Linked DNA regions of Yarrowia lipolytica. The main gene of each other region encodes a partner of the protein of the gene in region 2 in a complex. Links are inferred from orthologs where the notes say so. Each region holds a gene or a part of one and is shown on either strand. Other genes may lie near its edges.

What was found. Proteins that work in one complex are often made in the same cells at the same time.
Region 1: the proteins of YALI1_F16117g (region 2) and YALI1_A10529g are in contact, whole or in part, in a cryo-EM structure (PDB 6HD5), measured with the Saccharomyces cerevisiae proteins. The link is inferred for Yarrowia lipolytica from reciprocal best matches to the Saccharomyces cerevisiae genes NAT1 and NAT5. Residues at the interface, in NP_010244.1 of Saccharomyces cerevisiae: Pro376, Thr377, Gln378, Pro380, Ile381, Ile384, Asp412, His413, Thr414, Pro415, Thr416, Tyr421, Gln446, Leu447, Asp448, Leu449, Gln450; in NP_014896.3 of Saccharomyces cerevisiae: Asn14, Asn15, Leu16, Gly17, Met18, Lys21, Val25, Tyr66, Ser67, Ile69, Pro70, Leu99, Asn101, Tyr102, Lys105.

Annotation. Positions count from the first base shown.
Region 1 is NC_090770.1:1,050,221-1,055,407, reverse strand, and holds YALI1_A10529g (uncharacterized protein), read left to right. Parts: upstream 1-2,493; coding exon 2,494-2,973; downstream 2,974-5,187. Other genes in the region: YALI1_A10565g (uncharacterized protein), read left to right, coding at 1-755; YALI1_A10510g (uncharacterized protein), read right to left, coding at 3,352-4,431. UniProt on the Saccharomyces cerevisiae protein: N-alpha-acetyltransferase that acetylates the N-terminus of proteins that retain their initiating methionine. Has a broad substrate specificity: able to acetylate the initiator methionine of most peptides.
Region 2 is NC_090775.1:1,607,697-1,614,119, forward strand, and holds YALI1_F16117g (uncharacterized protein), read right to left. Parts: upstream 4,080-6,423; coding exon 1,653-4,079; downstream 1-1,652. Other genes in the region: YALI1_F16069g (uncharacterized protein), read left to right, coding at 1-1,043. UniProt on the Saccharomyces cerevisiae protein: Non-catalytic component of the NatA N-terminal acetyltransferase, which catalyzes acetylation of proteins beginning with Met-Ser, Met-Gly and Met-Ala.

The DNA.
Region 1 (5,187 bases), on a different chromosome or scaffold from region 2:
CCGTAAACGTCTTTGTGGTCGGCTCCACCGTCTCGTCCTTCTTTGCTGCCGCCTACGCCAAGTACTTCAAGCGAATGAAGCCTGTCATTATCGCCGGAGCCGCTATCTACATGCTGGGTATCGGTCTGACCTACAACTACCGAAAGCCCACCCACCGTCTTTCTCAGTTCATTGTCTCGCAGTGTGTGGAGGCTGTTGGAGCCGGCTTCCTCCAAACCCCCATGATCTCCATGATCCACGCCGTGGTGCCCCATCATAACGTGGTCACAGCCACCGCCATTTACCAGTCCATCATGACCGTGGGCTCCATTGTGGCTGAGGCCATTGCCGGTACCCTCTACCGACAGTCTTACCCCAAGCAGCTGGCCAAGCACGCGCCCTTCCTGTCCCCTCGAGAGGCCCACCAGGTGGTCAACAACCTCATGGCCCCCATCAAGCTGTACCCTTGGGGCACTCCCGAGCGAGAGGCCATTGTCACCGCCTTCAACGACATTTACCGAAAGCTTCTCTACCCTCCCATCATCATTGCTGGCTTCATTTTTGTCGCCGCCTTCACTCTGCCCAACGTCTACCTTGGTGACACCGACGAGCCCACTCAGTCTGACTCCGAGGTCGACTCTTCCTCCATTGACGAGAAGATCCACCCCCATGACGAAGAGGCTCAGTACGAGCAGCATCACGATATGGAGGCCTCTACTTCTCCCGAAAACATTCCTCAGATCTCCGAGGGCATGGAGGAGGAGAAGAAGATGTAGAAAGCCCACCATCCCCACTTTCCTTCACATAGCTGGCTATGCTTTCCCGATTCTAAAAACGCTTTAATGATGTAAATAACTAATTGATGATATGATGACTTATAACTCACTTGCTTGTACACTTGTAGGAGACGACGATATGAGAAATGCGAAAGGACAACCGCCGAATCTCACATCCAAGCCATTTCTTTGTCTAATATAATTCTGCACAACTCGTTTAATTGCCTCATTAAGCGCCCTTGTCTGGAGACTGGTGACGTCGCAAAGCCGTGTAATTTACACCATGCAACTCCGAACGGCGTATTTGCTCACGAAAAAAAAGAAAAAAAGAAAACATTTGGATTTAGTTTTCACAACTTATATATGCAAAAAATGCAAATCAAATCCAAATAATGGTGAGCACGTGTCGGAGGTGGATCTGTGAAGACATGGGTCTCTGTCTATAGGAGCACTGATGTGTTGATGCGCGGGTTTAGAGCTGCATGAGCTGTATGAGAACTGGATGAGAACTGGATGAGAACTGGATGAACACTTCTTTGTAGTTATCTACTATGCCATAGTATACTCAATGAACACTTGATGATATAAAGAATCATGCGAAAACTGTTCATGTTCGAAACATTGTGCCGAGCTAAACAAAATGATGTAGCCTGACATGGATAGACATCTCAAGAGACGACGAACGCGGGTTCAACTTTGGGGAGTTTGACTTTGGGGAGTTCAGTTGAGTAGATATCGCTTGGTGATATAGGTGAACAAGTACAGTACAGTATGTACATTACTACTAAAAGTGTAGATGATACTTCTATACATTCAATTGTCAAGAATGCAGGCAGATAATCGGCCAACAGGACAGTATATAAGGTACACCAGTGTCATTCCGTACAAATACACGTATTAGAACATCATTTTATATCACAAGTGTACTCATTACCCCAGTGACCATTCTAGCTGACAAGATATTGGAGGTCACATAAGCAAACCCGAACCCCTCAGTCTCGAAAGATCCCCAGCTCTTCAGCCACGCCAGTACTGATGAGGCGTTCCACGCACGCTGACAATCGGGGCCGCGCTAGGAAAATTTCTCCTCATGTCCGGTTTGACTTGTTATAGACGTTAAGAGGGATGTCTGTCGTTGCCTCTCTATCGGAGTTGGAGTGCGCGTAGACATACCAGAAAAGGTCGAGTGAGTAATCGCATGTCACCATGCCAATACCATAGGCGTACACTGAGTATTACGTCGTACAAGTAGTTGGATAACACTTAGTAGACACATAATTGAAATGACAATATATAGTTTTTTATTTTTATTTTTATTTTTATTTTTATTTTTATTTTATTAATCCCAAGTAAAGTTACAGACAATACAGGATAGAGGGGGATTACACCTCGTGGTACAGACCATATAGTACAGTACATACAGTATCTCACATCTCGAGACACCTCCTGCCAACCATTAATCTCTTTTCATCAACACTTTCATCTTTTCTCCTTTTCTTGTCCTTTTTTCCCTGTTTTCCTTTTTTCCCTGTTTTCCTTTTTTCCCTGTTTTCCTTTTTTCCTTTCCCTTTCCCCTCGCCCCTTTCGCCAGCTGGAATCGAACTGCAGAGCTCTAACCTGCCGGATATATTTCAGGTCTGGAGCACACCAGTGGTGCATCCCGAAAGCTTATTTTTGTCACAGGAGATATTGCAGACGAGAAATCCACTGAACCGCCGTAATCACCGATCCACCCACAATGAGCAAAGTCCAGCTAGACGACCTCACTCCCAACAACTTGGGCATGCTCAAACGCATCAACTCGGTCGTCCTGCCCACGTCGTACACCGACTCCTTCTACACCGAGGCCCTGACGGTGGGCCAGCTGGCCAAACTTGCCTACTACAACGAGATCCCCGTTGGAGCGATCCGATGCTGCCTCGAGGTGGCCCCCGAACACACCAAGCCGTCGCGAATCTACATCATGACCATCGCCGTGCTGTCACCTTACCGGGAAAACGGCATTGGAGGCATGCTGCTGGATCACATTGAGCGGTACGCGGCCGAGACCTTTGTTCCGGAATTGAGCGTCCATGCTCTGACCGACGACACGGAGGTGATTGAGTGGTACAAGAAGCGAGGCTTTGAGATTGTCGACGAGGTCAAGGGTTACTACAAGCGCCTGACCCCGGCCAAGGATGCCTATCTCATGGTCAAGAAGCTGAAGAAGGACCAGTAGGGAGACAAGAGAGTAAATAGACGATGGAGGATGCATTTGGTTACTGTATTACAAGAAGGTACGATGTAGTACATAATGTTAGGGACTGAACTGCGCAGACGAGTAGCAACAAGTGGATCAATGGGTCAAGAAGGTAGAATGGGCCACTAAAGATTCACAACGCCTTTTGTACAAGACGGACATTGTGTTTGGTATAGATCAATGTGTATTGTAGCTCAATAAAGTGTGTCCCTGGGTCTTGCTCTCCAAAAGACCCCCTGATCCCAGGTGATCTAGATCTATTTGCATCCACGTTCATGTTACAATGTAAATGTTAACTGGCTGTACTAGTATACCACAATCATAAACACATTCAATCATCTACTCATACATGCTATGCTAGTTTGCCATGGACACCTCAGGAACCTCAGAGACCATCTCCGAGACCAACTCTTTCACCTCTGAAGGAACCACTGCATCGCCCTCCTCCTCCTCAGCCTCTTCTTTCTCGTTTTCATTCTCCTCCTTCACCTCCTCAACAAGCTCGACAGCCTCGGTAGGAACCAGGTTTCCGTTCCACTCTCCACAATTAGGACACTTGTATCTGATCTCAGCAGCAGTCTTGCCAAATGGAGCGAGACCATTGTGATTGTGGCACTTGCTACAAATCAGTGCCTGTCTGTTCTGAGCGGCGCTCTCGTCTTCTCCAACAAGCAGGTCCAGCACTCGATCAAACCATTGGCGCTGGTAGGGGCCGGTAGAAACTGGCGCTACAGAAACGCCGGCCTTGTCCAGCGACTGCTTCGCTGCCAGAACCTCCTTCTCCGAAACAGGCACGGGTTTGGGGATGGCTGGAACAGCAGCAGGTACATTGGGTCCTGGCCCAGGGGCAGGCACGACAGGCACGGCAGGAACGTTAGCTGTGGGGGGAAGGTTTCGAGGCACGTTTGCTGTGGGAGGAGGAACGCCTTGTCGTCTGTTAGTAGGTGCATTCTGTTTGTTTGCTTGCTGCTGGGCGGGTTTCTTGACCTCCTTCTTCTTGGGCTCGTATCGATCGACAATGGCCTTGGTGGAGTAGAATCCTGTCTTCTGTTTGAGCTCCTCCAGCTTGCCCTCTTGTTGTTGTCGCAGATACTTGATTCTGTCTTCGTCGAAAGACACAAAACGACCCAAGACAGCCTGGATCACATATCGCACAATGTAGATTGCGGGAGGACCCAAAAGCACACCCAGTGTGAGTCTGTTACCGGAGAGCAGCTGGTCACGGCTCAACTGGTTCTTGGCGACCACAATGCCCACGTAGACAATGTAGACGACCAGCGAGTAAAGAGTGAACAGACCCTTGGTGCGTCGGAGTCGCAAACGTCGCGATAAAAGCCGTTTTTCTGTCTCCGCAAGTTTGGTCTGGAGAACCTGTAGCTCCTTTTCGTAATTGGCCGACGGGTCGGACCGCTTAAAGAGCCCGAGGAATGACGACATGGATGATGGTGATGATGGTGACTTGGCTTGTTAAGTTGGTGTGCAATGTGCACATGGCAATGCATGTGGGAGGTTGTTAGAGCTTATTATCAGGAGTACGCGATGTAGGGAAAGAGATGAGACATTATATATAGTTGATTGCGGGTGAGAAATTCGTGGGAAACAGAGCCGGGGGTTACAATCAGGGTGTAAGATCTTGGAGAGTTGCAAGCTGACAGTTGATGATGATGTAAGTATAGTATAGTACGAATACTGCACGGACATTACAAGTACAGTATGTACAGTACAGTAGTACAGTACTGTAACCGTATGATAAGGAGAAGCAAGAAGGTCGTAGAACAGGAATAATACATCTTTTTCTACTGGTACCATGTGATAAATGTCGTCTTCAACAAAGTCGTCTTCGGTTGTTGAAATATGAATATACGATGCAGTGCTACATGAACTCATTTTCATCATTAGTGCTCTCTAGGGAAGAATAAGCACGCGATGTTGACATAGCCGTATGTACGATGGACGTCGTCTCGAGCACACATTTGAAGGAGAAGGATTGAAGTATAGGCTTGAAGAATAGGCTTGAAGTGTTAATCAGACTGCTTAATACAATGTTGAGATGCGTTGGCAATGTCAATCGATTAATCAGGCCTGTTTTTAGACAGTTAGGACGCACCGAATCTCCTTCACACGCTTTCAAAACATCATTCGATATCCCTGGAGCTTTTATCTGAACATATTGTCTATACAGTGGAACAATAC
Region 2 (6,423 bases):
AGTTCCCCGACGGCGAAATCTCCGTCGACGAAAACTTGTGCACTCTGGACCCCAAAATCGGATTCAACATCGTCACCACAAAGGTGGACCGAGACCACCACCGGGCTCTGATGGACCGCGCCACCGAACGGGAAGCCAAAACCGTCTTCAAACGCATTTCCTACGACGGAGAAACGTCCATCGTGCTGTGCAAACCATACACCGGCCGAACCCACCAGATCCGCGTCCATCTGCAGTTTCTGGGCCACCCCATCGCCAACGACCCGCTCTACTCGTCGCCGACAATGTGGGGCGAATCCCTGGGCAAAGGTGGGCTTGAAAACTACGACGTGATGATGAAAATGATCGACGACGTGGGCAAGACCAAAACCGCCGAATCGTGGTTCTTTCCAGCAGACCCCAACAAACCCCTGGGAGAAGTGCTTTCGGGCTCCTGTGAAACGTGCAAAACGCCCCTATACACCGACCCGGGCCCCAACGATCTGTCTCTATGGCTTCATGCCTTCACCTACTCCTCCAAACCAGATGAAGACAACCCCAACGCCCCCAAGTGGTCCTACTCCACCAAACTGCCAGAATGGGCGTCGCAACCCCACAAAAAGTTCATGGACTTGGCGGTGGCCGAGGCAGACAAGTCCGAAGGAACCCCCTCCGCCTTCTGCGTGGGAGCCGTTCTAGTCAAGGACGGACAAGTGCTGGAAACAGGATTCTCCAGAGAACTGCCCGGGAACACCCACGCGGAACAATGCGCTCTGGAAAAGTATTTTGCTAAAAACAACGTGTCAGACGTACCGGAAAACACCGTCATCTACACCACCATGGAGCCCTGCTCCGAACGACTCTCCGGAAACCTGCCCTGCGTCGACCGAATCCTCAACTCGAGCATCAAGACCGTGTTTGTTGGCGTTCTGGAACCCGACGACTTCATCAAAGATAACACCTCGTTGGCAAAGCTGGAAAAGGCCGGAATCAGCTACATTCAGATTCCCGGCTACGAAGACGAGAGTATCAGAATCGCAAAGAAGGGCCATCCAAAGAACTAGATTGTATATAGAGAAAATGGTATTGGATATGGAGGCTGATTGGTCACGTGATAAAAAGAATCGGGGTTGTAATTGGTAACGTGACTTCAAAATGAGTTGTTGCGTCACATGACACCAATCCGACGTACATACTGTACTTAGTCAAGATCTGCTTTGGGCTTAAAATTTGTCGAACGGACCAGCTGGGTCACGTGGAAACCAATAATTAGTCACGTGACATCAATCTAAATTTGTAAATAAACACGTGACGTCACCCTGACGCTTACTCCTCTACTGTGAACGTTTCTCTCTCTCTCTCTCTCTCTCTCTCTCTCTCTCTCTCTCTCTCTCTCTCTCTCTCTCCTGCAGATGGGACTGAAGGAAATGATATTGGACACGTGACGTCAATTCGATTCCGTGTTATCACGTGACAACAAACCGACGTCTCCCAATGACTCACGTGACATGAATATGAATTACTTAGTTCGTCTTTCTCTCACTCCCACCTCTTCTACCTCCTCCTGCAAAAACATCATCTATTTCTTGTACAATCTAACAAAATTAACACACGAGACACTTTCTCGCGCACCACTTGTCCACAACGCCTCGCCTCGTCGGGACCTCGCTTTCCTAGTTGGGAAGAGGAACCTCCAGCTCGGGATACTGCTCCTTGGCCAGATCCTCCAGCTCCAGACCAAGCGAATTGGCAGCCCAAACTGCTAGAGCGGCAGCGGTGGCATTCTCCGAGACCAGACCCTTGAGCAATTCTCCAGCTAGCTCCTTGTAAGAGGGCACGGAAAAGGCCAGTCGAGCGGTGGCCACGGCATCGGACTCTGTCTCGTTGAACAGCTTGGGAAGCATCTTGAGAGTCATATCCTTGAGGTTCTGGGCGGTGCTATCATCGCCATTAAGCTGGGCCTCGGCGACCTTGGCCAGCACAGAGGCGTAGGGAGATGCGGCGTCGGAGGCCTTGAGCTTGTTGAGCGACTGAAGAGCAAGCATGTACTTGTTCTGTCGCAGATAAATCTCGGCCTGGAACACAAGCCCGAGGCTGTCGCCGACCTCGGCGAGCTTTTTCGCATGAACAAGGGCAGTTTCCAGCAGATCGACGTTCTTGACGAGCTTGAGACCCTCGGGATCGGCATCGTGTCGATGTTCGGGGGTAGGCAGACCGTTAGGGTTCTGTTTGGCCTCGGCAGAACCCTCGTTGGTCTTCTTCTTCTTCTTCTTCTTGACCGTGGTGGAGGCGTTGTAGTCGACCGCCTTAAGAGGGAAAGAGCCCGGAATCACTGCTCCACAGCCACAGTCGGGCTTGGTATCCCACAGCGCAATGTAAGTCTCAATGATACCCCGGGTGGACCGGATAAACTTCTTACTCTTGTACAGCTTGTCCTCCCACTGCAGCATGTCAATGTACGCGTTCATGGTTCCCTTTCGAAGCGCGTACAGATGGAAGTCCAGCTGCTCGTGTTCAAACTCGCTGAACACGTTGAGCGCGGCCTTGTGTCGCTTGAGAGCCAAGGGGCCGTCTCCGTTTCGTCGCTGTCGTCGGGCCAGCTCGGACAGGAACCAGTAGCCCTGCATATCGTGCAGGTCCTGAACGCCGGTACCGGAGGTGTCATTTCGCGTGAACATGGAGATGAGCTTGATGGCCTGCTCAATGTCGTCCGCGTTGTTGGCCCGCAAAGTGTACTTGGCGGCCTTGGTGTTGAGATAACGGTCCTGGAGATCGAGTTCCCGGGCGGCATTGGCGGCCTCAGCACCCTTGTTGACCGCGCCCATTCGCTTGAGAATTTTGGCTCGGGTCAGATGCAACTCCACCAGGGTTGGGGTGTGCTCAATGGCATTGTCAATGAACTTGAGGGCCTTGTTCTGGTCGCCGAGCTTGGAAAAGTGCTGGGCCAGAAAGCAGGCGGACCACAGAAAATCCGAGGCGCCAGAAAGATCTTCAGTGGCGCCATCAAAGATCCGTTGGGCAATGGCGCCGATAGAAAGAGCCTTGGCGGGGTTCTTGTACAGGTGCTTGACGTTCATGAAGGCCGAGGGGACCCGTCGATGGATGAGGGTGGACACGTAGGCGTCGGCAGCCTCGTCGAACGCCTGGCCCTCGAGGAACTCCAGAGGCATGGATCGAGGACAGTCGGACCGGGGGTATTTTTGAGCCAGCTTCTTGTACATGACAGACTTGAGCTGGTTGTTGTCCTGGATGCCGAGCACCTTCTCCAGCTGTCGGTAGAGAGCCCGGTCATGGGGGTTTCGTCGCAGCAGCACTCGGGTGAGTCTCTGGGCGTCCTTGGTTTTGCCCTGTCGGATGTAAATGTCGCATCGATGTTCGAGAATGGACTGCTGGTCGGGGATATGGCGCTTGGAGGTTTTATTTTCCAGCTCCTCGAGATCCTTGAGCGCCAAGTCGTATTCCTTGGCCTCGATCAGGCACTTGTTTCGGAACAGCGCCAGCTCGCAGTTTTCAATGTCGTCCGACTGGGTCTTGTCCTTGGGTTCCTTTTCGGGGGCGCTTTCCTCGTATGCCGCGAGGGTTCGTGCGGCGGTGGCGTAGTCGCCCTTGAGAAACAGCGCGACCGCCAGCCCGGTCCAATTGGCCCGGATCTCCGGCTTGTCGGTCAGTTGTTTCCGTCGGGTGATCACCAGCGGCTCGTACTCACGGGTCTGGATCTGCATCAACGACAGGTCCCGCAGCACGTTCTGGTTGGACGGGTCGATGGTCAGCGACTTTTGGTACGCCTTGAGGGCCGCGTGGTAGTTTTTTTCCGACCGCTCCAGAAGAGCCAGCACGTGCCAGATGATGTAGGACTCGGGGTCGTTCTTCATTCCGGCGTTGATCAGCGATCGGCCCTCCACGGGCGAGTCCTGATGGTACCGACACAGACCCTTGACCGCCAGAGTCTCGCCATGATCCGGCTTCTGAGTCAGAATGTGATCCGCCCGTTTGATGGCTTCGGCGTACTCCTTTTTTTCGTACAGAGTCAGACACTGCTTGAAGTCCGCCATCAGCATGTTGCTGAGCTTGCGGTTGGCAGGGGGCGCTCGCGCAGTCATTGTTGGAGCCGTAGTCGTATGTTACACAAACAGCCAGAGTGGGTTTGTGTCAGAGTGGTTTTGTGTTCTGGTGATTTGGAAATATGCGTGGAAAACTTTAATTTGGAGGTTGGATTTTATTTTTACTTTTATTTTTATTTTTATTTTTATTTTATTTTAAGAAGCGAAGGGATAATGGACAGATCGTGGGGACTGTTGCTAGGGTCCGTTTGGGGTCAAAATGTGTGTGGGAGGTATTTCGAACCTGGGGAATCCAAATCCGGTGTCAGATTTTCTCTACGGTTTCCGAATCCCATTCTGGAGACACCCTGTTCCCTGGTTCAACTACTCCGAAAAATAAGATGAGTGTATGTAGAGTAGTCCGGAGAGCACGTGACGGGGGATAAAGAGGGGTTTGGCTGGTTTGGACAGGTTTTCAGAATATAAGGTCATTATTGAGACGATTCTGAACATTTTTCAATTTTCCGATTTCCTCTACCATGTTTCTACGACTTCTCCAATTAATTTTAACTGCTTTTTCAAAAACTCAGCACTAATTCAAAATAATTCAGATTAAAAGAAAAATCATTAGAAGATGACCAACAGAATTTATTTTGAACACCAGGAACGTAATTAAGCCCCGGAGAAGGCGATAATCAACTCTTGGAAAGACTTAGCAGCTCGTTGAATCACTGAGAGACTCTACCGAACACTGTAAGCTATCTTCTACCAGTACCATCGGCAAACCAACCCAACCAATGTCTTCAGTGTAAATACCTGTTCATTTCCATCAAGTAAATCTGTTGGAGGCTTATCAAGTCTTTTCTTAGTCACCAATATTCATCCATGGTCATTGATAATCATCGGAACCAAGTACTTCAGACCATTGAGACGAGAGACGAAGTCACCGAGACTTGTGTTAAACTGTTAGTAATCCGATTCCTAGTAACCAAACCCCTCTTAGGAAACAAATATTCAAGTCTCGGCCGTCTCATAAGCCCAATTGAGCCTCTCTTAGACGACTCCTAGCTGACTAGTACCACCTGTGTGTATTCGTTATAGTAACCGAAACCATTCCAATTGCCAGTTTGACAAACAAGAGTTGACTAAAAGAACTAAAATGTAGTACTCTCAATGTTTATGACTTTTCAATAGTTTTTTTGTTCAATTCGGTAGTTTCGATGGTTTTTTGTTCGACTTCTCGTTGCTCTTTGTGTCTGCTCTTTGTATTGGTTCAGAGATCAACAATGACCGCCTTTGTGCTCGTACTCGTATCACCAAGGAGACGACAATGATGCTCATTGTCGATGCGGAACTAAAATCAAGCTCTCTGGCCTCTCCACGAGTATTGTTTTTTTTTGTTGGATTTTGTTGGATTTTTTTTGGATTTTTTGGTTTGCTCTCTGCGGGGTGCATACAAAGTTGAAATTTGACGGCCAAATTGGGTCGAAAAACGTCGGCGAAAGTTCCAATCTATTCTCCGCACTAATATATTCAATCTTACAAACATCTCCGGTCCATTGATCCTCTCCCAGGTGTTATAGCAATCGATGTTGACTCTCGGCTAATTTTGAAACTTTTCCCAAAAAGTTAATCGCAGGAGGGATAGGGTGATTTTCGAACTGAAACAGATTGCCCAAGCGAGATTAATTGGTTGCTGCGAGCTTCATTATGCGCATCTGTATGATGACATATTAGTCCTTGTGCAGCGGCTCTTTTCTTTTTCGATGAGGGTCAAATTTGTCAACCAATTTTGTCGTCAACTAAAAAAAATAAAAAAATCCCTTTTTTTTCTTTTTTTTACTCTAAGACTTGCGACCTGCTCGCGAGGACACAGAAATGCCCATCAAGTACCAGAAGAGGTAACATTGAACGACTGACTACCACCGGGTCTTGTTCTGGTTGCTCTAGACTGCCACAGTCCACAGAAAAGCACAGAAAAAGCACAGAAAAAGCACAGAAAAAGCACAGGAAAAAGCAGACATTTTTATGGCGGCTAAAAAAACAAAAGAATTACACAGAGAGTTCGCAAATTGAACTGCATTGATCATATATCGGTAGTATTGTATCAGACATCAGTTCGGGGATGGTGATTCAGTTAGAGATGTCCAGTCAGGATGAGAAGAGCAAAGATCCACCACAAATGGCCGTATATTCGATATACAAGAGCGGAGGACTTGATTCGCATGTTTTTACTGTTTTTCACTCACTTTTACTCCATTTTTCATCCATTTACCACTCCCATTAGTCGCCCTGAAAACCTCTATCCAGCTCTCTCTATCAAGACACGGCATTGGGTCCAAAATGGAAATAGATGCACAGAATCGACGCAGCATTGGAGTTTGTATCGGCTAATATGAATAAA